Linked DNA regions of Elephas maximus indicus. The protein of the gene in region 3 purifies or fractionates together with the protein of the main gene of each other region. This does not show direct contact. Links are inferred from orthologs where the notes say so. Each region holds a gene or a part of one and is shown on either strand. Other genes may lie near its edges. The genes, in order: CCP110, CEP97 and CEP76.

Region 1 (7,811 bases), on a different chromosome or scaffold from region 3:
CACAAGCAAAGCATGAAATTTTGTTTTAAAGGTCAAGGAAACCTAAATAAAATATCTTTGTTAAGGATTGAATTGTGTCCCCCCAAAATACGAGTTATAATTCCTAACTTCTATGCCTGTGATGGAAACCCTGGCGGTGTAGTGGTTAAGTGCTACAGCTGCTAACCAAAGCCTCGGCAGTTTGAATCCACCAGGTGTTTCTTGGAAACTCTATGGGGCAGGTCTACCCTGTCCTATAGGGTCGCTATGAGTCAGAATCAACTCGATGGCACTGGGTTTATGCCTGTGATTGGAGCCCTGGTGGTGCAGTGGTTAACAGCTTGGCTGCTGACCAAAAAGCCAGCAGTTTGGACCCACCAGCCACTCCTTGGAAACCCTACGGAGCAGTTCTACTCTGTTCTATAGGGTCACTATGAGTCAGAATCCACTCAATGGCAATTTTTTTTTAATGCCTGTGGTTATAATCTTATCCGAGAATGGGCTGTCTTTGTTATGTTAATGAGGCAGGATTAGTGTAGGGTGTGTCCTGAGTCAATCTACTTTGAGATATAAGAGAGATTAAACAAGCAAGAGAGAGAAGCAGAGATGAGGTAAGAGAGATGCCAAGCCACATGAAGATCACCCAGGAGCGAGGCTCAAAAGAGACAAGGACCTTCCTCCAGAGCTGACAAAGAACGCCTTCCTCTAGAGCCAGGACTTCTAGCCTCCTAAACTGTGGGAGAAAACAAATTTCTGTTTGTTAAAGTCCTCCACTTGTGGTATTCTGTTAAAGCAGCAGTAGTTAACTAAGACAACATTTATGGCAATAGTTTGATTTTCTTTTAACAACATCATGTAAATATACCTCATTGCTTCAGAAAGTTAAATTCACGTCCCTTAAACAGTGCATGCTGTCCTTCACGTTTGTAGCATATTACAGCATAATTTACAGCACATGGTAGTGTTTCAAACATTCAAATAAAGGTACTAATTTAGAGATCATGGAAACTACCAAATGATCCTAGAGCAGGAGTGGATCCTTAGGAGATGGCACCTCAGGATCTCTCAGCTTCAGAGGGGCCATCCCTGACTATCCCATCTATACATTAGTGCCTCACTCACTATCACATTACCCTGCTGTCTCCCAGTTTTCACAGCACTTACCACTGTCTGAAATTATCTTACTTCCTTGGCTTTTTCTGTCTTCCTCCACCAAAATGTAAGCTCCATAAGCACAGGTCCCTTCTCAGTCTTGCTCACCACTGAATCCCCGTTACGTAGTGTCTGCACACATTAGGTACTCGATAAAAGTATGGAATAAATGAATTAGGGTAATTAGCTCAAACAATAAGGTAAACCAGAAAAAGAGGAATACCAAAGAAGTAAGAAGGGAATTTAGAGACAGTAGTTTCATGTGTGACTCTGTTCTCAGAGAAACTGGTACCTCTAAAGTGCAAAGGCAACCATTTAAAAAATGAGCCGTCCGTACCCATACGATTAAGGATGAGGGCACAACATTTCTCACACCACAATTACCACTGTCAGCCAGGCTGTATTTTAAGGGTGCATTTGACTACAAGGCCACCCAGCCACAAATCTACTGCCCCATACTTTACCATCAGGCATTACTGGTCCACTTCCATTAATAATCTGTCAGTTGCAACAAGTTCAGACATGCTTTGTCTTCTCCATTTATACCATACAAGTATTACTGACCCTTCTCCACTTGAGCCTCTTAGCAAACCCCATATACTCAGGGCTCTACTATCTGCACCTCACCAGTACTCTGCCAAAATTGTCACTGATGGGAATGACAAAAGTAACAGAACAGCTCCTGCCTTGTTTTTCAGATCTGAGCTGATGGTTTACCCACCCATCAGTCCTCCACAAGATGTAAACTCCTGGTCCAGGCAGTAAGGGTGAGGTTTCTCATTCAGATACATACTGACTAGCTGTCTGAGTCACTTACCGTCTCCGTGCCTCGGTTTCTTCATTTGTAAAACAGGGATAATCAGAGTATCCCTCTCAAAGGGATTTTGTGAGGATTCAATGAGATAATGCATGTAGGGCAATTAGCATAGTGAAGGACATCAGAAACCATCAAAAATGGGGGCTGCTTTAATTATGAAGATGATGATGACTATGAATTTCTGGAAGGCAGCGACAGTGCTTGATTCCTGGTAAGATTCAAACGTAACTTAAAAAATATGGAAAGGGGGACAACAGCTTCCTCATTTCGCTGCTTCCAGACCCCTCTGCCCATCAAATCAATCTCTAGGCGCCCTACTTAATTGCCTAAATTGGAGGCAGGGAACTGGTCCCACACCCAGATGAGAATAGCAAAGGGTGGGAACCACCTAGCAGCATCAGGGGCAATCAAGAGAATTTGCTTTATTATCCTTACGCCCCCGAGAGTCGCAAAGGCAAAGTAAACAGCGCTCCTAGGGCCTTTGGTTGTGGCAACCGGCGTTCAGAAATGGCCAGTGCAGCCCCTGGGGGCCCCTCCCTCTCCAGCACCGTGGGAGAAGAAACACGGCCCCGAACAGTTCTATCAACAGGAGGTGATTTTTCGGCTTTGGGCTGGGTTGGGCAGCGTTTATTTACCAGGGACCTGTGCCCTCACCCAAACGCCCCGCGCCCACCTCACCCAGCTCCTCAGACAAGTTCCCAAAGGCCCATCAGGCGGTGCCAGCATCCGAGCATCACCTCCGCGCCCGGTGCCGCCGGCCCCCCAGGCTGTAGCCTCCTCACACCCGAAGCCTTTCAGGGGCTCGCGGCCCCGGAGCCCAGCACCTGCCCTCGGGCTCAGTGTGGAGCCCGCCCTCAGCTCCTCAGGGCGCCAGTTCCGTCTCTCCCGGTAGTCGCTCAGCCCTGACCAGCTCAGGGTCGAGCCCCCTCCTCACGCACACACCTGGTCCCTCACAGCCCCAACAGCTTTTCTTTCCTCGCTCCGGGCCTCGTCAGGAAGCACGTAGTTCAGATGGCACTGACAGAGTGCAGCTTGATCCAACGCCGCCTTCTCCTCCTCCTCCCCGCCATATTACGGGTCTCAAGCGGCAACGCGGGAACCTGGCAACCGCCGCCGCCGCCACTGCCCGGACTCCACCTTCCAGGGCAGGCACTTCCGGTGCTTGCTTCCCCGGCCGTTGGAAGGAGCGGGTCCTAGAAAAACTACAATCCCCAAGGTGCATTGCGCGCCAGGGTACGCGCCCTCGCCCAATGATGGAGGGCGTAGACTTTATGGCAAGCAGGGTGCACGCTGGGAGACGTGGTCTTCATTATAAGTAAAGCCCTTTGCCGTGGAGTAGACTCGGACCCATAACGACAGTGTAGGACGGGCTAGAACTACCCCATTGGGTTTCCAAGGAGCGCCTGGTGGATTGGAACTGCCGACTTTTTGTCTGGCAGCCATAGCTCTTAACCACGGCCACCAGGGTTTCCACTTTAAGTAAAGGCCTCTAAAATTATAATTTATTACAGTAGGAACGCTCCTAAGGGTCTGAAGGCCTCTGAAAAGTTCCTTAAAATTACCATTTTTTACTTTATGTATAGAGATGAAACTCTTGCTGTATGGTCATTGGAAAACATACAATATTCACCAAAATTATTTCTCTGTAGATAAAATATTGCTGAATCCACAGATGCCAGCGCTAAGCCCTAAGACATCCCTACCCTTTTACAAATCAGTGGGAAAAGATGTCCAAGAAGAAAGTTAACAGATTCAAGATGACATAAAAAGCCCTAAATCTTTTGCCAAAGTTCTCTATCTAAACAGTATGGCACCAATTTTTCAAAATATGATTTAGTGGCCAATTTCTCTCCTCTGTCCCTGGGTGATGCAGTTAACTTGCTTGGCTGCTAACCAAAAGGCTGGAGGTTTGAGTTCACCCAGAGGCGCCTCAGAAGAAAGGCCTGGCAAGCTGCTCCTGAAAAATCAGCCTTTGAAAACCCTATGGCGCAAAGTTCTACTATGGCATACATGAAGTTGCCATAAATTAGAGGTGACCCTACAGCAAATTTTTTTTTCCCCCACCCCCTAACTTGGCTATATCTTCTGTCTCTCTTACTCCTCCTCCTCCAATGCCTATTTTTGCACAAGTGAAATGGAGATTTTACCTATATCAACGTATGACAAGGTTGGAAACCCTGGTTAAGAGCTACGGCTGCTAACCATAATGGTCGGCAGTTCGAATCCACCAGGTGCTCCTTGGAAACCATGTGGGGCAGTTCTACTCTGACCTATAAGGTCGCTGTGAGTGGGAATCAACTCGATGTCATCGGGTTTAGCTTTGGTTTGGTTATGACAAAGTCATTGTGGATAACAGTTGAAATAATCTTTACACAATGCCTACATAAACCCCAATTATTGACTTCTTTAGGAGAAGTAGGATTGGAAGGAGTAGTAGCAGTGGAAAAGTCACAGGCCTAAAAATGGAATGGCTTGATGTCTGTCCTGACTCTACCATTAAAGCTGCTCCATTGACTTCACTGCTCCTGGCCTCAGTTTCCTCGTCCATGAGAGTGATTAAAATCACTTCCAGCTTTATAATCTGACTGTGCTTCTTTTGCTATGTTCTTTCATTTCCTCAGAATCTGAAAATCGCTTGTTAAGTTGACTGAAACCAGACTTCTGAAATAGTACCTACCTATTGAGGCTGTTTGAGAGTAAATCAGATAATGCATACAAAGCGTTTGCTGGGCACAGTACCTGGGACACGGTAAATGCTCGCTCTATAAATGATAGCTCTACTTACTAACATTATTTTTCCCAATTAAGACGTAAGCTCCACACGAGCAAGGACCCTGTCGGTCCTGCTCTTATGCCGCGTCCCCAGGACCTGGATGTGTGTTGGGCGCATCTTGAATTTAACTGAATAAATGATTAGGCTAAGCGTCCTGCCCCTTGCCTCAGTTTCCTCCCAGGTAGAATGAAGGCGTCACTAAGATCCCTTCTAGCCGTACAACCGTACGACGACTCTTCTATCCCGCTTCTTCTCTTCTACCAAGTCTCAAAGTCCATGTTAAGGTCTCCACCTCAGAAAATCCAAAAGTGACTTTGGAACGTGAACCCGGGGCCAGGGCCCGCCTCCGTTGCCATGGCAGCGGCTCCGCCCGGCGCTCTGGAGATCCCGGGCTCTGATTGGCTAGACTTCCGTCTCTTTCTCCGGATGTATCTGTCGCCGCCATTGTGCGGCACTGGTCCCCTCGGAAGGTGCCAGCTGGGGCAAACGCCTCGGGTTCTCACCCTCGCCTGCCGCTCTCCTGTCTGGGGAGCCCGGCGGGTCCGGGACTCCCGTCCTTGCCGGTGCTGGCGCCGGCATGTGGCTGTGGGAGGAGCAGGGGGGCCTCCTGGGTCCCTTCTCCTTCCTGCTGCTGCTGCTGCTGCTGGCGACGCGCAGCCCCTTCAATGCCTGCCTCCTCACCGGCGGCCTCTACGTCCTGCTGCGCCTCTTCAGCTTTGAGCCAGTGCCCTCCCTCAGGGCCTTGCAGGTGCTCAAGCCCCGGGGCCGCGTCTCCGCTATCGCCCACCGCGGTGGCGGCCACGACGCGCCTGAGAACACCCTGGCGGCCATCCGACAGGTGAGCCCCCCACGCCTTTCGCCCCTCAGCTCCACCTGGAAGCTTGGGCTTCTGTTTGACCTTCCAAAGGTCCCCAGTCTCAGGATAGCCTTCCCGGTTACCTGCTAGCCCTCAAGTAATGCATTACTATGGCCCTTGATCCTTCCCAGTATCTGGGACTCGCCGGGCTTCAGGTATTTATAGAATACTTAAACAAATATTTATAGAACGCCTGCCGACTGCCAGGCACAGGGGATACAGCCATGAACAGGGCCGACAGGGTCCCTGCCTTTACGGAGCTTGCATTGGAGTAGGGAAGACAGGCCTTAAATAAGTAAATGAGATACTTTTAATAGGGCAAAAAGTGCACTGAAGAAATACGGTAATGGGGTAAAGAATGACTGGAAGTTAGTATATGTGATATATTTAGATAGTAGTATTTGAATGGAAACTGGTATTATGAGAAGAAGCCAGCCCTGGGACTTGGGGAAAAAGTGTTCCAGGCAAAGGGAACAGCAAGTGCAAAAGCTCTGAGGTGTTAGTGATCTTTCTTGAGTGTCCAGGGAATAGAGAAGGCTGTTGAAGGCCTGAACTCAAGAAACAGAACAAAGGCTGATGTGTGAATGAAGTAGGAAATGTGGCCAGGTCACAAAGAGTCTTGGTCAATAGTTGAGCTTATTCTAAATGGAACAACCTTCACAGGAATGTGGTGCTTTGCTTGTCCTCTGACTTTGTCACCTCCTTATAGCACATGCACGCACATACATCCCCAAAGCATATATTTGAACTCACACAACAACCCTGGCAGGCTCACTGATCAATTTTTACAAGGCACTCACTTCTGAGACTGTTGATCTCTCCCAGCTCCTGGCAGTCTCCTGTCTTCATAATAATGACAGCTTGCACAATAAAAGAGCTTTTCAGTTGACCACACACTTTTACATCTGTGGAAATATATCTGATCCTCTCATTCCTTTGAGACATGACTTTCACATTAAATGGGTGGGAAAACTGAGACTCAAATGCATACATCTTCCTCCAGATTTCAGCTTTCTGATTCCAAGCCCAGTGCTCTTTGTCATAGTTTAGAATGTGTTCCAGGATGTAAAAACTTGAACCTTCCTTTCTTTATCCAGCTAGGGACAGACAGTATTGTGTAATGAACAAGTTACTTAAGCTTCTGTGCCCCAGTCAGGGTCATGACTAGGGTGTGGCAAGCAAGGCGTGTGAGTTGGCATCTAATGTTGCACTGTGGGCACCTCTCCTCACCCTGGTCACAGCCCTAACCGCAGTTTTCCCATCTGTAAAATGGGAATAATATTGATATCTACCTAATTAAAAATAATTGTCATTGAGTCAATTCCAGTTCATGGTGACCCCTTGTATGTCAGAGTAAAACTGCTCCACGAGGTTTTCACTGGCTGATTTTTTGGAAGTAGGTCACAGGCCTTTTTTTGAGGCATCTCTGGGTAGATTCGAACTTCCAGCTTTCTGTTAGCAGCCAAGTAAGTTAACCTTTTACATCACCCAGGGACTTCATCTGTCTAATAGGTTGCAAGGATTCAATGAGGCAATCCACATAAACTGCCTGTCCCGTGGTAAGAACTCCACAAATATAAGCTATTCTGTCAGGAATCTAAAGTTAGCATAACTCTTTAAAATTGCTGTGGTGTAAACTAAACAAAAAACTAAATGTGACAAGAGAAGGAGATCAGGCAACCTTTGAGTCAGTGCAGGGTATCTCAGTTTTTGTATTTTTAAACCAAGTTAGTGGCACAATGGTTAAACACTTGACTGCTAACCAAAAAGTTGGTGGTTCAAACCCACCCAGAGACTCCATGGGAGAAAAGACCTGGAGATCTGCTCAGGTAAAGTTTGTTGTTGTTAGGTGCTGTGGAGTGGATTTCGACTCATAGTGATCCCATATGACCAAGAAAAACTTCCCTATAGGGTTTCCTAGGCTATAATCTTTATGGGAGCAGATCACCAGGTCTTTTCTCCCACAGAACCACTGGGTGGGTTTGAACTGCCAACCTTTTGGTTAGCAACTAAGCGCCTGACCGTTGTACCACCCTAGAAAACCCTGTGATGCAGTTCTGCTCTATCACATGGGGTCTCTATGAATCGGAATCACAGCACGTAAGAACAACAAACTTCTATTATATTTCTCTCCCCTTGGTTCTCTTGTGATGGAAAGGAGACTGTAGAGTAGCTTTTCTAGCTTCCGTTTAAAAATAAATCTAAAGATATTGAAGAATATTATTTTACATTGT
Region 2 (7,232 bases), on a different chromosome or scaffold from region 3:
CTTCGAACAGTGTCAGACACATAAGAAAAAACCTGTTACCATAGGGTTAATTCTGACTCATGAAGACTCTAACAGAGGCCCAGTAAACATTTGCTGAATGAATGAACTCTTTACCTCCACGGTGAGGTAAAAGGTTATCTTAGCAACACAACATTTTGCCAACATAAAATGTTTTCTTTTTTTAACAATTCTTCTTTTTCTAGTCCACCCTAGATGTAGTACATACGTTTTCATCATTATGAGAAACTGGTAAGTAAAAATTCAAGACATTTACTGCTTCCCAGGCCTGCAGAGTTATCTTCTATTTGGTGATTTTATTGTTTTGTTTTGTTTAATAATAAACTGGTCCTGTGTAACTATTTCCCCAGAGAATAACACTTACCTGTATTAATCGTCTGCATTTCTCAAGATTTTCCAGTTTAATAATCTGGTTTTTATCCAGAATCAAAGTATGGATATCAGCTTCACAGGGCAAGTTTAGACCTAATTTCTGTAGTCCTTGCCCTGACCAATTGACTACTGAACCTTGAAAAAGAGAAGGGACATTGTTGGAAAACACAAATAAAGCAAATACAACAGCTGAACACAAGGATGAAATTATACTTGCGAAAAACCTATACATTTAGAGTCAGAAAACACTGTTGTTGCTGCTCCGTGGGTCAAGTTGATTCTGATTCATATGAGTAGGATGTCAAGATTCTAAAAGTAAGCCCATCTTGAGTTCAAAATGACCAGACTGAAATTATTCACTTTTCCTTAGAAATAAAACAGTACAACTAGATTTGTGATTTTCTGTTCAAGTTTCTATAACACTTTGGAATTCTGCACATTTATATATGAACTATTACATCTATATGTTATAACTAAATAATAGCTTTTTAAAAAATGAAGTGAAGTTTTTATAAAGATCAACCTGCTTATAACCTAACTTCCAGCATATTACCCAGAACTCAAACTATTTTGAAAACTATAGTTCGGTTCTCTCAGGAAAAAGGCAGCCAAGACAAAGGCTATTAACCAAAAGAAGCCTTTTACTAAGCAAAAGCCTCACCAGCCTTCTTTTTACTCCATAAATGCCTTTGCGCATACTGAGCCAAAATTGCTTTCCTTTCACATTTGGAAGACTATATGGATTATGATCCAAACCAGAACCATTTTCACAGTGAAAGGTGATGCTAAAAATCATATTGTCATATACTGAAATACTGATTCTTAAATTGGTTTTATTTGTGGGCCTATTCCAAAACTATTTTCAAAAATAAAAGTATTTCTTAAAATATAAAAACAACACACCTTGTACATTAAAGCAAAAAAAACTTAACTATATTATTTACACATTAAAAATAAAATTAGCAGAATATATTATCTAAATATTCTACAATATAAATATTAGTTTTGTTGTTCAAGTACTTTAATCATTCAAGTACTTTTTTTTAATTCAAGTACTTTAATCAGTTTTCTTAGCCATATTTCTTTCTACAAATGTGTCCCTAGTGTTTTTTCAGAGGAATATACTTCTTCAATATGGCTTTGTTATTATTGTTATCATAAACTTGTCTGTAAACTTCAAAGTTGCATTTAATCTGAAATTTTTGACAACTTCAAAAAAAAAGTATAGTTAATTCATCTCTAAAATGAGGACAATACACCGATTTCACTAGGTTGTATTAAAAGAGAAGCCATGTGACAAACACTTAGTCCTGTTCCTGGCCCACAAACCATACAGCATTCAATAAAGTAATATAACAGAACGTTCAAATCCTGGCTCCATCGGGTTACTCCACTGTGATATCTTGGGCAAGTTACTTCTTTTGGGCTCACTTGTCTACTCGGTAAAATGGTGATGATAATACCTGCCTTATCATGTAGTTCTACACAAAATGAGATAATGTAACAAAAGCACTTGGAACATCCTCTGGCTCATAAAAATTGCTCTATAAATGTTAACTGCTATTACTGTCAGTAAATTGCCTGGGTGGGCAGAGAAGGTGGAGTTTAACAGAAGTAGATAGCAGTGGGGGGCGGGGCCAGAGAAACTTGTAATTTCAAATTTATACCCAGATTAGGACTGCGAGAAATAATTACGCTAAGATTGCTCCCTGGAAGGTTTCAACGTTTTTCCGCGTCTAAAATGGCGCTTAGCATTTGGGGGGTCATGGACTCCTCTGGGAATCTGATGCAAGCTATGTACTGTCCCAGAAAATGCCCACTCTTTGTTTGCACACCATTCCGAGGGGTTTGCCAGACCTCTTAGAACCATCGGGTCACCTCCCCCCCGCCCCGAACAATTTACAGGTCCCAAATAACGAGCCCCTGGTCTAAGCCCTGGAGATGGGTCCCGACTCCCTGCCCTGACCCCGATCCAAACGGCTGCTGAGGAGCCTCGGAGCGGTAACCAAAACAAAGGAGCTCAGCTCACGCCTTGCGCCCCAAAGAGGTACCTCCCGGCCACAGAGGCACCCACCCCCCGAGCTCTGTTGAGCGGCGACCAAATCCGTTCCCAGGACCCCGTATGCGTAAGGAGGGGTGGGAAACTGGGGGCTCTGGATCACCCCCTCCCCCCCATGTTATCACGGCCACCGTTCCCTTCTAAGGAGGGGTTCAACGTCAGTGTAGGAAAAGGTGTTCCGTGCAGTTTCCTGAACGTTCTAGAAACCGAAGGGAAAGAGGGACATGGCAGCGAAAAAGGAGATCCTGCCAATTTCATTCGCGGCCCCGAAACACAAAGCAAACGTCCAGGAAAAGACACCGCAGCCCCAAACCCACCAACCCCCCGCCCCGGCAGCACGGGAGCCGAGGTGCGCGCGCGCGCGAAGGCCCCTGGGGTCAGTAGTCCCTCGCTTGGCCCTCGCCGGGAGGCCGGAGGGCTGGACAGTGCCTGGTGACTACAACTCCCAGAAGGCAGCGCGCCTCCGCGACGCCCACAGCCGCGCATCAAAAGACCTGGTCCAGAACTGTACAGCTAAACCCGGGCTTCCCCTCTCCACCAGACAACTATTTAATTTGGCTCGGTAAAGTTTGGGACCCAGAGGTAGGGACCGCCTTACCTTCTCCCGAAGGCAAAGCCGCATCGACGCGCGCCACCGCCATACTTCCCGCTTGCTAATAATACCAGGCAACCGTCCTGCGGCCACTCCTGTGGAGCTTGTAGGCAGGAGGAGGGAGCCGGAAACTACAACTCCCAGGATGCACAGCACCCAGAAGACCTAATTGGCTGTTTAAACTTAACGGAGTGAACCCAGGGATTAGAAACTGACCTGTAATGAGCTCCGGAACACTGGTCCACTCCCTCATTTGACAGATGAGCAAACTGCATTATTGGATAATCATTTCATGCCCCTTTTCTAGGTGTTAGCGAAATTTGATACTTTTACCATCGGGATGATTATAAAGAAGCTACTTAATGTAGTCTGAACTTGAGAGCTCGCAGAAGTCTTGTGGGGACAGTCCCCACTATAGGAACGACTTCAGCTGTCTTATGATAGTCAAATAGATACATTTTATAAGAATTTAGCTAAGTAAAAGGATTTAAAGCATATCGAGATAGAAACTTTTTTACAGTATTTTTGAGCGGTTGTTTTCGAGTATTTAACAGAACTTCTGACCTGGAGGTACATTTAATAAGTATGAACCCAGAATTTTTCCAGGAAGTATTCGAAAGAAATTTGAAATGTATATAGTCTCCAAACTGAAGAATTACACTGCCTATGGGGGTCGCAATGAGTCAAAATCGACTCGGGGGCAACCGGTAGTTGGAGGGGGGTTGGCTCACACTTTTATTAGAATTGTTCCTTGCTAAATGGTTTTAAATGGTATGCTTGAACTAGGAACTCAATAAGGTTGTGGCGAAGGACAACTATAATCTTCAGGGAAGATTTGATGGAGGAAGTGAAATCGATCTAGGATTTAAACGTTGAGTAGATGGTTTTTGGGTAGAATCTGAAGTCAAGAAGTAGACAGTTGAAAAAACATGCACATAGGCTGCAGGTGGCCATGAAGCTGTGCTCATAGGAAGTGAGAAACTAACCTGACAGCACCATAGACTATATTAAGGGAGCTTCCACTTTCTACTACTAACTCACTCACTCCCTCTTTTAATCTTTATTCTGATCTCATCTTTTCCTGAAACTGTAATCTCCAAAGTCTCTGATAATTTCTCTTTGGGAAAATCCAGTAACTCATCCTTTTAGATTTCCAGGCACTTGATTCTATAAGCATTCCCTCCTTCCTTGGTTCTCCTCCTATCTGACTGCACCTGCCTTCACTGTTTTTGCTTTTACTGTTTCGTACTGTTTTAGTCTGAAGACAAATGTCCTAGTTCTGAAGAGGAAATTGAGTAGGATTTTTTTTTCCCCTGTAACCTAGAGACCCTTTACCTAGAGAGCACAGACTTACTATATATGAATACAGCAAGCCTCAGTGCTGCCTCCTTTTAACTCTTGTTCCCTGGAATGAGCAGTAAGGATTGAGGAGAGTCTCTAGCCCAAAGAGAGAGGGTTTACAATTCACTCCACTTTAGAGGCTAACGACTTGGGAGAGGAGTTCCTGCAAGTCTGGAGGGTACTTGAAGAGCACAGGATCCCACAAGTTTACAGCAATAACTGAAGCAGAGTTTTGATCGGTTCATCTGCTCTGGTGTTCTGAGCAAAGAGCCAAAGGACTCCTTTTCTGGGGCTAACCAATTATAATCATTAATCTTGAAGAGAGTGAACAGGTGTTCCCAGGGGCAGATTACCCAGTAAGCAAGGTAAGCATGGGCTTATTTGTGCTTACAAATAATTTTTTTTTTTAAATTGGTCACTACAAATTACCAAATAAGCACAAATAAGCCCATGCTTACCTTGCTTACTGGGTGAACTGTCCTTGTGAGGGACTGTAAATTTGAAAAGAGGCCTTGATTCTCTAAGAAGGTGCTGTGAGTTTGAGAGAAGGACAGATTCCAGCCATAACTAGAAACAAAAACTGTTTACAGATGATATAGTAAGCAAGGTAAGAACAGAGCTTACCTTGCCTATTGGATAATCCACCCCGGGTGTTCCTGAGCAAGGCCCCATGTGCCCAAGTGACCCAGCCACCCTTTAAAGTGACAGCACAGAAACTCTTTTGTACTTCAGATACAGCTTTTACATCAAAAATCAAATTACTACACTTAAACTAAATTGCATTGTCTTCTATATATGTTAACACTTACAAGCCCCAACCAATTTAGGAGATTCTAATAACCAACACCACTATGAACCCCTTGGCAAGGTAGCATTTCTTTGACAGGCCCAGGCCCACAAGGAAGACTTTCCTTTTTGCCAGCACAGCATACCTGATCCCTGCTACAGCTGATCGCCTGACTCGTCTCCCCCATCTCTAATTCATCCTGCCCACTGTTACTGGCATGATCAAGGTAAAACAATACCTTTCATCATGTTACTCTTTTCCTCAAACATATCCCACTTGAAATTCAACTTCCAAAAACCACCATAATCTGGCCTCACCCTATTTCCCACTGCTAGTTTTCATTAGGTGTTTTTGAGTGAGGGATTGACATAATGAAACTTGTGTTTTAGAAGGGTTAAACTGATCGTGTAGCAGGATGGACAAGAAGGTACAGACAATCGTGGCAGGAAGGAGACTGTTGTAATGGTGAGTGGTAACCTTCAACAAAGCAGCTTCAGTGGAGTGTTGGGACATAAGTTAGGTAAGATGAATATAAGAGAGGAGGAAGGCAGGGTACTGAAACCACAGGTTTGGACAGTGCAGTTTACCTTGTCGAAATAAAGGTGGTTTTCTAATCAGGATGAGAACTTGCATGTGAAAGAAGTATAATAATAACTTCGGAGTTTTTAAGTTTTAAAACTAGGATATTATTAATATGAAGAATTTTATCATTGTAAAGCTTTTGAAAATGTGCCAGTTTTTCTTACAGTAAAAAAAAATCCTTATTTATGCAAAAGTTTAGGTGGATAAAATTGAACATTTTCTTCTCTGGTTAGTATTTATTGGTAGCCTTTTATGGTTTGGCTTCCTTATCTATGATCTCCTGAACGGAAGGAGTTATTGCCACTATGAAATGTCTATCTATGGGTTATCTACCCGTCGCCGTCAAGTTGATTCCAACTCATAGTGACCTATAGGACGGAGTAGAACTGCCCCATAGGGTTTCCAAGGCTGTAATCTTTACAGAAGCGAACTGCCACATCTTTCTTCCGTGGAGCAGCTGGTGGGCTCCAACCGTAGACCTTTTGGTTAGCAGCCAGGCATTTTAACCACTGTGCCACCAGAGCTCCGCAGGTTATCTAGAAGCCCCAAATGAGTATTCAATTTCCTAATATTATTATCATAATTATGATTTATCTTTTTTTATGTGCTAGGCTTTGTAATACCTATGTTGCATATATTACCTCTAATTTTCACAAAATCACTGCAAGAAGATCCCAAGAAGTTAGGGTTGCCAGCTGTTTAATATGAGTATCCTTAAAGCCACTCACCTATGGTATTTCTGTTACAGCACTAGGAAACTAAGACACAGTGTTTTGCAGATCTCAATGCAAGGGAAGAAAAGTTTCCATATTTCAAAATCCATTTAACTGTGCAATTGAGGAGCTTTTACCTAACATTCAATTGGAAGTGATTAATCCGATATGCTAACAAAGCAATCAAGAGAATAGTCGAATTCTGTAATTGCCTTCCAAGAGATTAATGTGTTCGATTAAAAGTATATCCCTTGAATTGACATCAGAATTGGGCGGTACTGTGTGAAGATGAAGGGTATAGGACCTCCTCACAGCTCAGGATCAACAGATGAACATTTGCAACCCATTTTGATGATAAAAAATAATAATAATAATAGGGAATAATAATTTTGAACCCCAATTAAGCAAAATGTTACTCACCACTCCAAAAAAAGAATTTTCTTCTCGTTGGCATACCAGGATTACAAAAATATATTTATGTTATATTGCAAATATGTTTACATATAATACATCATAATATCGATGTCTAATTTCATCAATGACAATTTTGTGGAAATTATTTTCTCTTATTAAATAAGTACCTATGTGATATTCTTGATTTCGCCACTTAGCCTGCAAAGCCTAAAGTATTTCCTATCTGGCCCTTTACAGAAAACATTTTCTGAGCCCTGTTCCGTTGTTAGCTGCTGTCAGTCTGCTCAGACTCACGGCGACCTTGTGTATAACAGAAGGAAACGTTGCCTGGTCCTGCACCATCCTCACGATCAT
Region 3 (7,933 bases):
ACACTAAGAAATTGTTTTCAAACAAACAGAAGTGTTAAATACAAACCCTTAATACTTAAAGAAAGCTAAACTTTTTCTAAACCTCATACAACATTTGGTTTATGAATGGTCATGAGCAGGTTTTTACAAGGAAGTGTAATTCACACAGCAGAAGCTGTTACTAGGTCATTTTTTAATAATAAATAGGTTTCTAAACCTCAAAAACTAAAAAAGGATGCTGTATTAAACACTTTATTCCTTCGTGTATTATAAAATCCATTCCAATTTTTACATCAGGTTATCCAGGTATTGAGGTCACAGCTTCTCATTATTGCCTCATTTTCAAAAGGCCTACTTACTAATTATGTACTGAGAGGCTATCACTCTGCTACTGACCTATTTGTAGGAAAAGATTTGAGGGCTCTTAAGCAGTCACACTATTTTCTTAAAGAAATTTATAATTTGTTAGTCATAGAAAATTCACTCCCCAAAAAATGCATTTATTTTAAAAATAAGCTCGTCAATCTAAAAAAAATTACACTATAATCTTAATGAAAAAGAACTCTGCTATGGTGACTAAGATGCACCTGACCTAAGCCATGATATTTTCAACAGGCTCATATGCATGTGAAAGCTGGACAATGAATACCGAAGACTGAAGAACTGATGCCTTTGAGTTATGGCAAAGAATACTAAATATACCATGGACTCCCAGAAGAATGAACAAGTCTGTCTTGGAAGAAATACAGCCAGAGTGCTCCCTGGAAGCCAGGAGGCAAGACTTCATCTCCTGTGCTTAGGACATGTTATCAGAAGGGACCAGTCCCTGCAGAAGGACATCATGCTTGGCAGACCAGAAGGTCAGCCAAAAAGAGGAAGACCTTCAGTGAGATGGACTGACACAGTGGCTGCAACAATGGGCTCAAACATATCAAAGATTATAAGGATGGCACAGGACCAGCATTTCATTCTGTTATACATAAGGTCGTTATGAGTCTGAACCAACTGGATGGCACCTAATAACATGATGAAGTAATGTGACTAAAATATGTGCATTTAAAATTGTAGACCTGGAGGATAACGAGAAAATTCTGTCAATATACAGACAGGAATGTGGAATCCCCTCCAATTTCACTGATATTATAGCAAATAATACTATTTGCTATATTCGTAGAGCTACCTTATACTTGAAAAAAAAAAATACTTGAAACTAGGGTATTACTAGACAAAAAGGTTTAAAGCGGTTTTATTAAAAGGAGGCCCCAAATATGCACCCTATAAACATTGTCAAGCATGAGAACAGACTTACACTGTCAACTTTTTTTCCCTAAATCATTACTCACAGTAACAAAATTCAGTTCCTTCATCACATCATCAATGATTCCTCTACGTCTAAGGGCTTTGATCAAATCTTCTGTTGATAACTGTTGTTGATCAGGTGCCAGTTCTTCACGTATAGTCTCAGCAAGGATTTCTCGTATTCTGCCGTGGACATCCATCTACGTAGAAAACTCACGTTACAATTTTTTTTCTCCTGAAGAGCACATGTATCAAAGCAGCCAAATATTACCAATTAACCAGTTTCTTTCTAAAATACTAAATCAAAGTAATAAAGAAAAAAACGGGGAACAATCAGAACAAAATTAAGGAGAATCTTGACACAACTTCAAAACCGTAACTAACGTCACTGATCAATCTGTGTGGAAATTGTCAAACGGGAACCTAACTTGCTGTGTAAACTTTCACCAAAAACACAATAAAATGTTATTAAAAAAAAAAATAACAGGGATGTTAGAGACTAAACTTAGGAAATTTGGGTTTCAGGCTTCTCCAGTTAATTGTAAACTTGTTACCACAATTCAGTGAAAACAAGGGCAAGTGGTTTCGTTGTTTTTAAGAAAAAAAAAAAAAGATGAAATTTTCAGTACAAATTTTTTAGAGTCTCTACTGGTCATCTGTTACTTTTTCCGCACAAACAAGACTCAAGTAAAATATGTATCTTTTAAAAAGAAATACAGTAACATCAAAAGAACCTGGAGTAGATAAATCAACGTTTGAATTTATTTTCAACTTATTAGAGGTGTAACCTCGTGCCAACTTATTTACCCTTCCTGAACCTGCTTCCTCGTCTATAACATGAGGAAAGTATTGCCCTCTCACAGGTTGGTGGTCAGGATTCGATGACAGATGCTCAACACCCAGCACAAAGCCTGGCGTACAAGTGCACAACACATGGCAGCTTTTATTAATATTTCAAATGCCCGGTTTTTTCAAATCAGCTTATTGCATTCAGTTGAGTGTCCCGAACATTCCGTGTTCTCCTGCTCCAAAGCATCACAAATATTTTTGTTACAGACTTTAGCGCCTTCTCTTCTATGACTTTTTGAGAACTGCTGGTTTAAGCTACCCGCTCAATTTCAACGGCACCCTCGTGTTTCACCCTTAAACCGATTCTGACTTTTCAAGTCTGAGTATAAACACGGGATCCAAGCGCAGGTTTGACTTCCTGCAGCGACTCGACGGACACTTCCTGTTCACCACGGTCCCCCAGAACCCGACCCGTCCGTCAGCGCAGCCCGGCACTCCCGCTTCCTCAGCGAGTCTCTGTCAGCGAGGCCAGAAAGCTCTCCTGGCTGCAAACCCAAGCCTCGCCCCTCCGACCTCTGCCCCTCCGACCTCTGCCCCTCCGACCTCTGCCCCTCCGACCTCTGCCGCTCCGACCTCTGCCCCTCCGACCTCTGCCGCTCCGACCTCTGCTCCCCCGACCTCTCCCGCTCCGACCTCTGCCGCTCCGACCTCTGCTCCCACGGCCCGGCCCGAACCCCGAGGACCGACACTGGCACGGAGGAGCCCGCGCGCCCTCACCTTGTTCAGCTGCTGGTGGATGAGCTGCTTCAGCTCCGAGGCTTTCTCCGCGGGCAGGGACATGTCGCCGGCCGCGCCTCGCCACCGCTCCTACCCGGCCTGGGAGTCCCAACGGCCGGCGTTCCGCCGAACCACTACCGCGACAGCGCCTCCGAACGACGACCGCGTCAGCTCCCCGCGCGCGCTCTAAGGCCGGACGGGGCGGGGCGGGGCGGGGCGGGGCGGGGCGGGGCGGGGCGGGGCGTCTGGGGCGGAGCCGGGGAGCGGAGCGGCGAGCCCCGGGGTGCCCCCAGCGCCGCCTGAGCGGCCGGGAGCGGGTGTCCCCGGGCCCCCGCAGCCTCCACACACCAGCCGATGAGCCTTTCCAGGGTCTCCGAACGTGTTGCCCTTCCGTTTCCCGTTCCCTCGCAGTTTCTTCCCGCCTTCCGCGCAGGCAGTTAAACTGGAAGGCCTCCGAGGACCTGGCGCCGAGGGGACGCAGGACCCCGCCGGCCCGGCCGCGTTCGAGTCCTGTCTGCTCCTTTCTCCGCGCGTTCCCGCTGTTCCCGCTCCGCGTTCCCGCCGCTCGGGCCGCAGGCAGGTCGACTTCGCCGCCGCCCCCGCTCTGTCCCTTCCTTCAGCCCCACGTTGCGGCCATGTTTGTGCCCTGCGTGGACCCGGCGCCCGAGCTCACGGGCTTCACCCTCTTGATGGTGGGTTCTCTGGCGAGTTCTCGGCGGCCCCGCAGGGCCACGGCCTCCGGAGGCGCCGGCGGCTTCATCCCCCGGGCTCGGGCCGCGCAGGGTCGGGGGAGAGAGGGGCCGTTTCTGTGCAGTTGTCAGCCCTCACTGAAGGGGCAGCAGAGGCTGTCTGTCGCGGGAGGCGGCGGTTCTCGAGAGCCTTCGTGGACCTGTGGGCTTGTGCGAGTCGGTAGTCCGTCTGTTAGCTGTGACACGAGCTGCTGGGCTGCGTGGGTTGTACAGGGTATCGTCCTCAAGTGTACCCTCAGAGGTCTTCCCAGCTACTTCTAGGTCGGTTTTAAGCTAGCAAAGTAATGCTGTTCTCCAGAGGTTCTCTCTGTTAAGAAACCATAAATGTAACCTTAAACCATGTCGTTTACTAGCTTGAATTTAAGCAAATGGGAGTTTACTGTAAAAGTATTAAAATCAGTGGTAGTAATAAAAGTCACTTTTTTGCCAGTAGCTAACACGGTTTTATCGCTTGTGCAGTTGGCCACGTTCATGCAGTGTTTCAGTAAACATTCTGGCACGTACGAATGTTAGGATAAGACTTGTCCACAGGAGTTCGTAGTCTACCTGGAAACGCGTCAGTGGACGAGGGCAGTGAGTGCTGGGGTGCAAGTTTGAAAAGATTGCTGACAGGCCCTAAGACTTGTGGGGAGGAGGAGTGGGCACAGGGCTTTTTCTTCAAATGCTTCCTAAAGAAATTAACGCCCAGAAAGTGAGGTATTGGGGGCTGGGGGGCAGGAATAGGGCATTTCAGGAAAATGGATGTCTACCCCAGAGACACACCGGCATGGGGGAGCTGGAGGATTTGGACTGGGAATGACTCATTGAGAGATAATAGGCTGCAGGCCTGTGAGCCCAAGAGACACCTTTGCAGAAGGCGCTGTTGGAAGTGGTGTATGGCTGAAGAGTGAACAGCCGTCCTTTTGTTCATTAAATATCAAGCACATGAAGCCAGAGAGGAGAGTGTTGAAAGAAGGAGAGAATACCTGTTTGTCACAAGTAGGCGAATGTGTAAGACGAGGAAGTGTGCGCTTGGGATTTAGCAACATGTGGGATGTGGGTGGTAACCTTTGCAAACAGTTCTCAGTGGAGAGGAAACCCATGCTGCAGCTTATGGAATGAGTTAGAGGATGTGGAGATTTGTATGTATTCGTTCAGCAATAAAATTCCTGCTCATGTTTCAGAGGACAAAGGTTAGAGGTATTGGCTTTGTGGGGACACAGAAATGAGATAGAGGGGCATGTGAGGACCAGGCAGGGCTGTAGTCTTTGTGGAAGCAGACTGCCACATTTTTCTCCCACGGGGTAGCTGGCAGGTTCAACGTACAGGAGAAAGAGTATAACCAAAGAAACAAAGTCTTGGAGAGGAAAAACGGAACTACTGGAGGTTGCCAGGGTTGATGACAGGTGTGAACAGTGGGAGACCACTGTGAGTGGCCCAGCAAAATAGGATGAAGGCCGGTAAAGAGCAATAGTTGGAAGTAACTCCATTAAAGAGATACTTTAGAGAAAGAATCAATGAAAATCAGTTATGTGTTAGATAGAGCTGGTAAGGGAAGAAGGTTCCTGTTTTAGGTGATCTGGTAAATGGTGTTGCTCTTTTCTGAAATACAAAATATGGGGACAGGTTTGGGCAGTTGTTTAGTTTTATACATGTTGAATGTGGGGTGCCTGTGGCATAACCATGTAGAGATATCCATTAGCTGCTAGAGCTCAAGTAAGTGTTCTCAGCTGTAGGCAGAGATTTCAGTTGGCTGTTTGAAGTCATGGGGATAAGTATGTGTGTGTTTAGTGTGAAAAGGTCACTCTAACCTTTAGATGTGGGCAAAGAAAGTGGTACAAGAAGACCCAAGATTGCTTTTGTACATACCTCACAACTTTCCCACTTCCTAGGATGTTCATTCCCAGGTTGTTGTATGCCTCTCTTCCTTACTCCTTCAGTTCCATAGTAGTCACTTTGCACCTGAAGTGAGTCTTCTTTGACACTCAATTTAAAATTACAAACAACTGCACACAGGGACATATACACTCACGTTATATCCCTTTTCTCTCTTTTATTTTTGCCCATAGTACTTACTACTATATATTTTACCTATTTATTTTGTTTATTGCGGGTAAACCACATCCTCACTAGAAAGGAAGCTCCACAAGGGCAGTAATTTTTTTTCTGATTTTTTTTTTTTTCCATCCCCAATGCCTAGAGCAGCGTTTGACACATAGTAGGTGCTCAGTAAATATTTGGTAAATGAATTGTGTGAAAGGTGGAGGAGGCCTCAGCTGACATCACAGTTATAGATAATGAAAGAGTCAGTATTTAGCTGTGATATACCCAAGCATAAGCGTTCAGTACTAGTACTATGATTATTATTTTCAGTCTAAATTTTAAAAGTGTTGCTAACATTTTATGACTTATCGAATATATCTTTTATGATTTCAGCCAGCAGTATCCGTTGGAAATGTTGGCCAGCTTGCAATAGATCTGATTATTTCCACGCTGAATATGTTTAAGGTTGGTTACTTTTATACCGATTGTCTTGTGCCCATGGTTGGAAACAATCCATATGCAACCACAGAAGAAAACGCAGCAGAACTCAGTATAAATGCTGAGGGTATGTACAACTTGCAGCATGTTTTATTCTACTACAGAGTTGTTTTAAATTAGAAATAGACTCACAGATACTGTTTTGAAGCAAATGTTTACTTAGTGCTGGTTTTGTGCTGTCAGTGAGTATTATGACCCAGTCACATTGCCCTGTTACATTCTGGCTTTAGGTCTTAGCCTTTTTTTGTAAATGGCAGCATTTATGAGGGGTGTAACTGTACTTGTGTCTTTAGATAGAATTTAAGATTTCCTTTTTTTCCCCCCAACATGAATTTTTTTCTCCTTCATCCTCAGTTTTATTTTCTGTTCTTACTGGCACGTGTAATCGTTATCACTCATACAAGGGAAATGTGGCAATGAGAATTCGCCTGGACTCAGTCCTAGTGTTTAAGATGTACTTCTCATCTAAGCCTCCAAGTCGTCTTGTTGCATTGTTATGGAATCCGTAATAAGCTGATTAGGTAGTAAGGCTTAGAGAGAGTGAGTTGCCAAATGCCACTTAGTAAGGGTGGGCTTTTCCTTTAGCATATGTTTCCAAAAGTCCTGATTTCCTCATTGGACATGTCAAGCACGGTTAATAGGGAACACTGTTCACATTGCACTGATGCTGTTGGGCGATTCTGTGAGATAGCACCATGGGAATCAGGGAAAGCTGTGGATCGTGAAGCACAGGAACTCCGTTACTTGGTTTGATGGCCAACTGCTCTATTGGCCTCTCGGTCTTCTGCTTACCATTTTGGGGTGAAAGCCAAAGGTAGTAGAGGAGCCTGAGGGGCCCAAGTGGATTAAAGAGCAGATGAAGAAGCATTTTGTTTTCTGTCAGTCTTATTAACCATGACATTATTCTAACTTTGCAATAAGGAAATGCAGTTTTGAGAAATAACTTTATTATTGAAATTCCTGCAGGGAAGATTAACATGAGATGAATTTCAGTTATTGCATTAAAGGATAAAAGATTTTAGTGAGAGGACTAGAATTCATATAATTTCCACTAATGATAACAGCTGTTTCTTACTGAGCATTTACTGTGAACTGAACACTGTATATTTACATGTATTAATTCATTTAGCCCTCACAGATACTCCATGAGGTAGTTTTATACATGAGGAGACGGTGGCAGAGAGATGATAAGTAAATTGTTCAAGGTCACGTGATTAATAATTGGTGTAGCTGAGTTTGAAATCAAGGCAGCCGGGCCTTGTGAGCTGCCTCTTCACCACGACACTGTCCTCTCCATGCTCGCTCACTCCAGTAAAAGATCCACTTCCTTTTCTCTGACACAGACTAGCAGCAAGTCAACTGTAGTGATAAAGTACTTCGATCCACTTTATTGTTTAAAATGAGGTATTTCAACTGTCAAAATGACATTTCATCCCCAAACATGTAACTATGCATCTCTGAAAGGTAAGAAACATACCTGAAATAACATGACATTTAACAAAGTGAGGCATTTCTTAATAACTTTCTACATGCCATCCATGTTGAAATTACCGCTTTACCACAAAATATCCCTTACATATGTCCAAACCAGAACACAATCTAGGACCCATAGTACATCTGATTGTTGTGTCCTTGAAATCTTTTAGAGTAGTCCTTCTTTTTTTTCCTTCTTCACAAAACTGACTGATTGAAGAGAAACTAGGTCCATTGTCCCATAGAATGTCCCACATGCTACATTTACCTGATTACTTCCTTAGGGAGTCATTTGGCTTGTTCCTCTACCCTTGTATTTTCTGTAACTCGAAGTTAGATCCAAAAGC

Evidence for each region.
Region 1: the proteins of CEP76 (region 3) and CCP110 purify together in Homo sapiens (co-immunoprecipitation; 4 studies listed by BioGRID and IntAct, with this or other methods). This does not show direct contact. The link is inferred for Elephas maximus indicus from reciprocal best matches to the Homo sapiens genes CEP76 and CCP110.
Region 2: the proteins of CEP76 (region 3) and CEP97 purify together in Homo sapiens (co-immunoprecipitation; 4 studies listed by BioGRID and IntAct, with this or other methods). This does not show direct contact. The link is inferred for Elephas maximus indicus from reciprocal best matches to the Homo sapiens genes CEP76 and CEP97.

What each region holds. Positions count from the first base shown.
Region 1 is NC_064830.1:79,358,184-79,365,994, reverse strand, and holds the start of CCP110 (centriolar coiled-coil protein of 110 kDa), read right to left. Parts: upstream 3,108-7,811; 5' UTR 2,891-3,107; intron 2,356-2,890; exon of another isoform or gene 1,144-2,355; intron 1-1,143. Other genes in the region: GDE1 (glycerophosphodiester phosphodiesterase 1), read left to right, coding at 5,299-5,559.
Region 2 is NC_064836.1:72,578,597-72,585,828, reverse strand, and holds the start of CEP97 (centrosomal protein of 97 kDa), read right to left. Parts: upstream 3,153-7,232; 5' UTR 3,091-3,152; coding exon 3,048-3,090; intron 526-3,047; coding exon 383-525; intron 1-382. UniProt on the Homo sapiens protein: Acts as a key negative regulator of ciliogenesis in collaboration with CCP110 by capping the mother centriole thereby preventing cilia formation. Required for recruitment of CCP110 to the centrosome.
Region 3 is NC_064829.1:9,168,564-9,176,496, reverse strand, and holds the start of CEP76 (centrosomal protein of 76 kDa), read right to left. Parts: upstream 3,038-7,933; 5' UTR 2,908-3,037; coding exon 2,845-2,907; intron 1,479-2,844; coding exon 1,323-1,478; intron 1-1,322. Other genes in the region: PSMG2 (proteasome assembly chaperone 2), read left to right, coding at 3,480-3,536, 6,009-6,180. UniProt on the Homo sapiens protein: Centrosomal protein involved in regulation of centriole duplication. Required to limit centriole duplication to once per cell cycle by preventing centriole reduplication.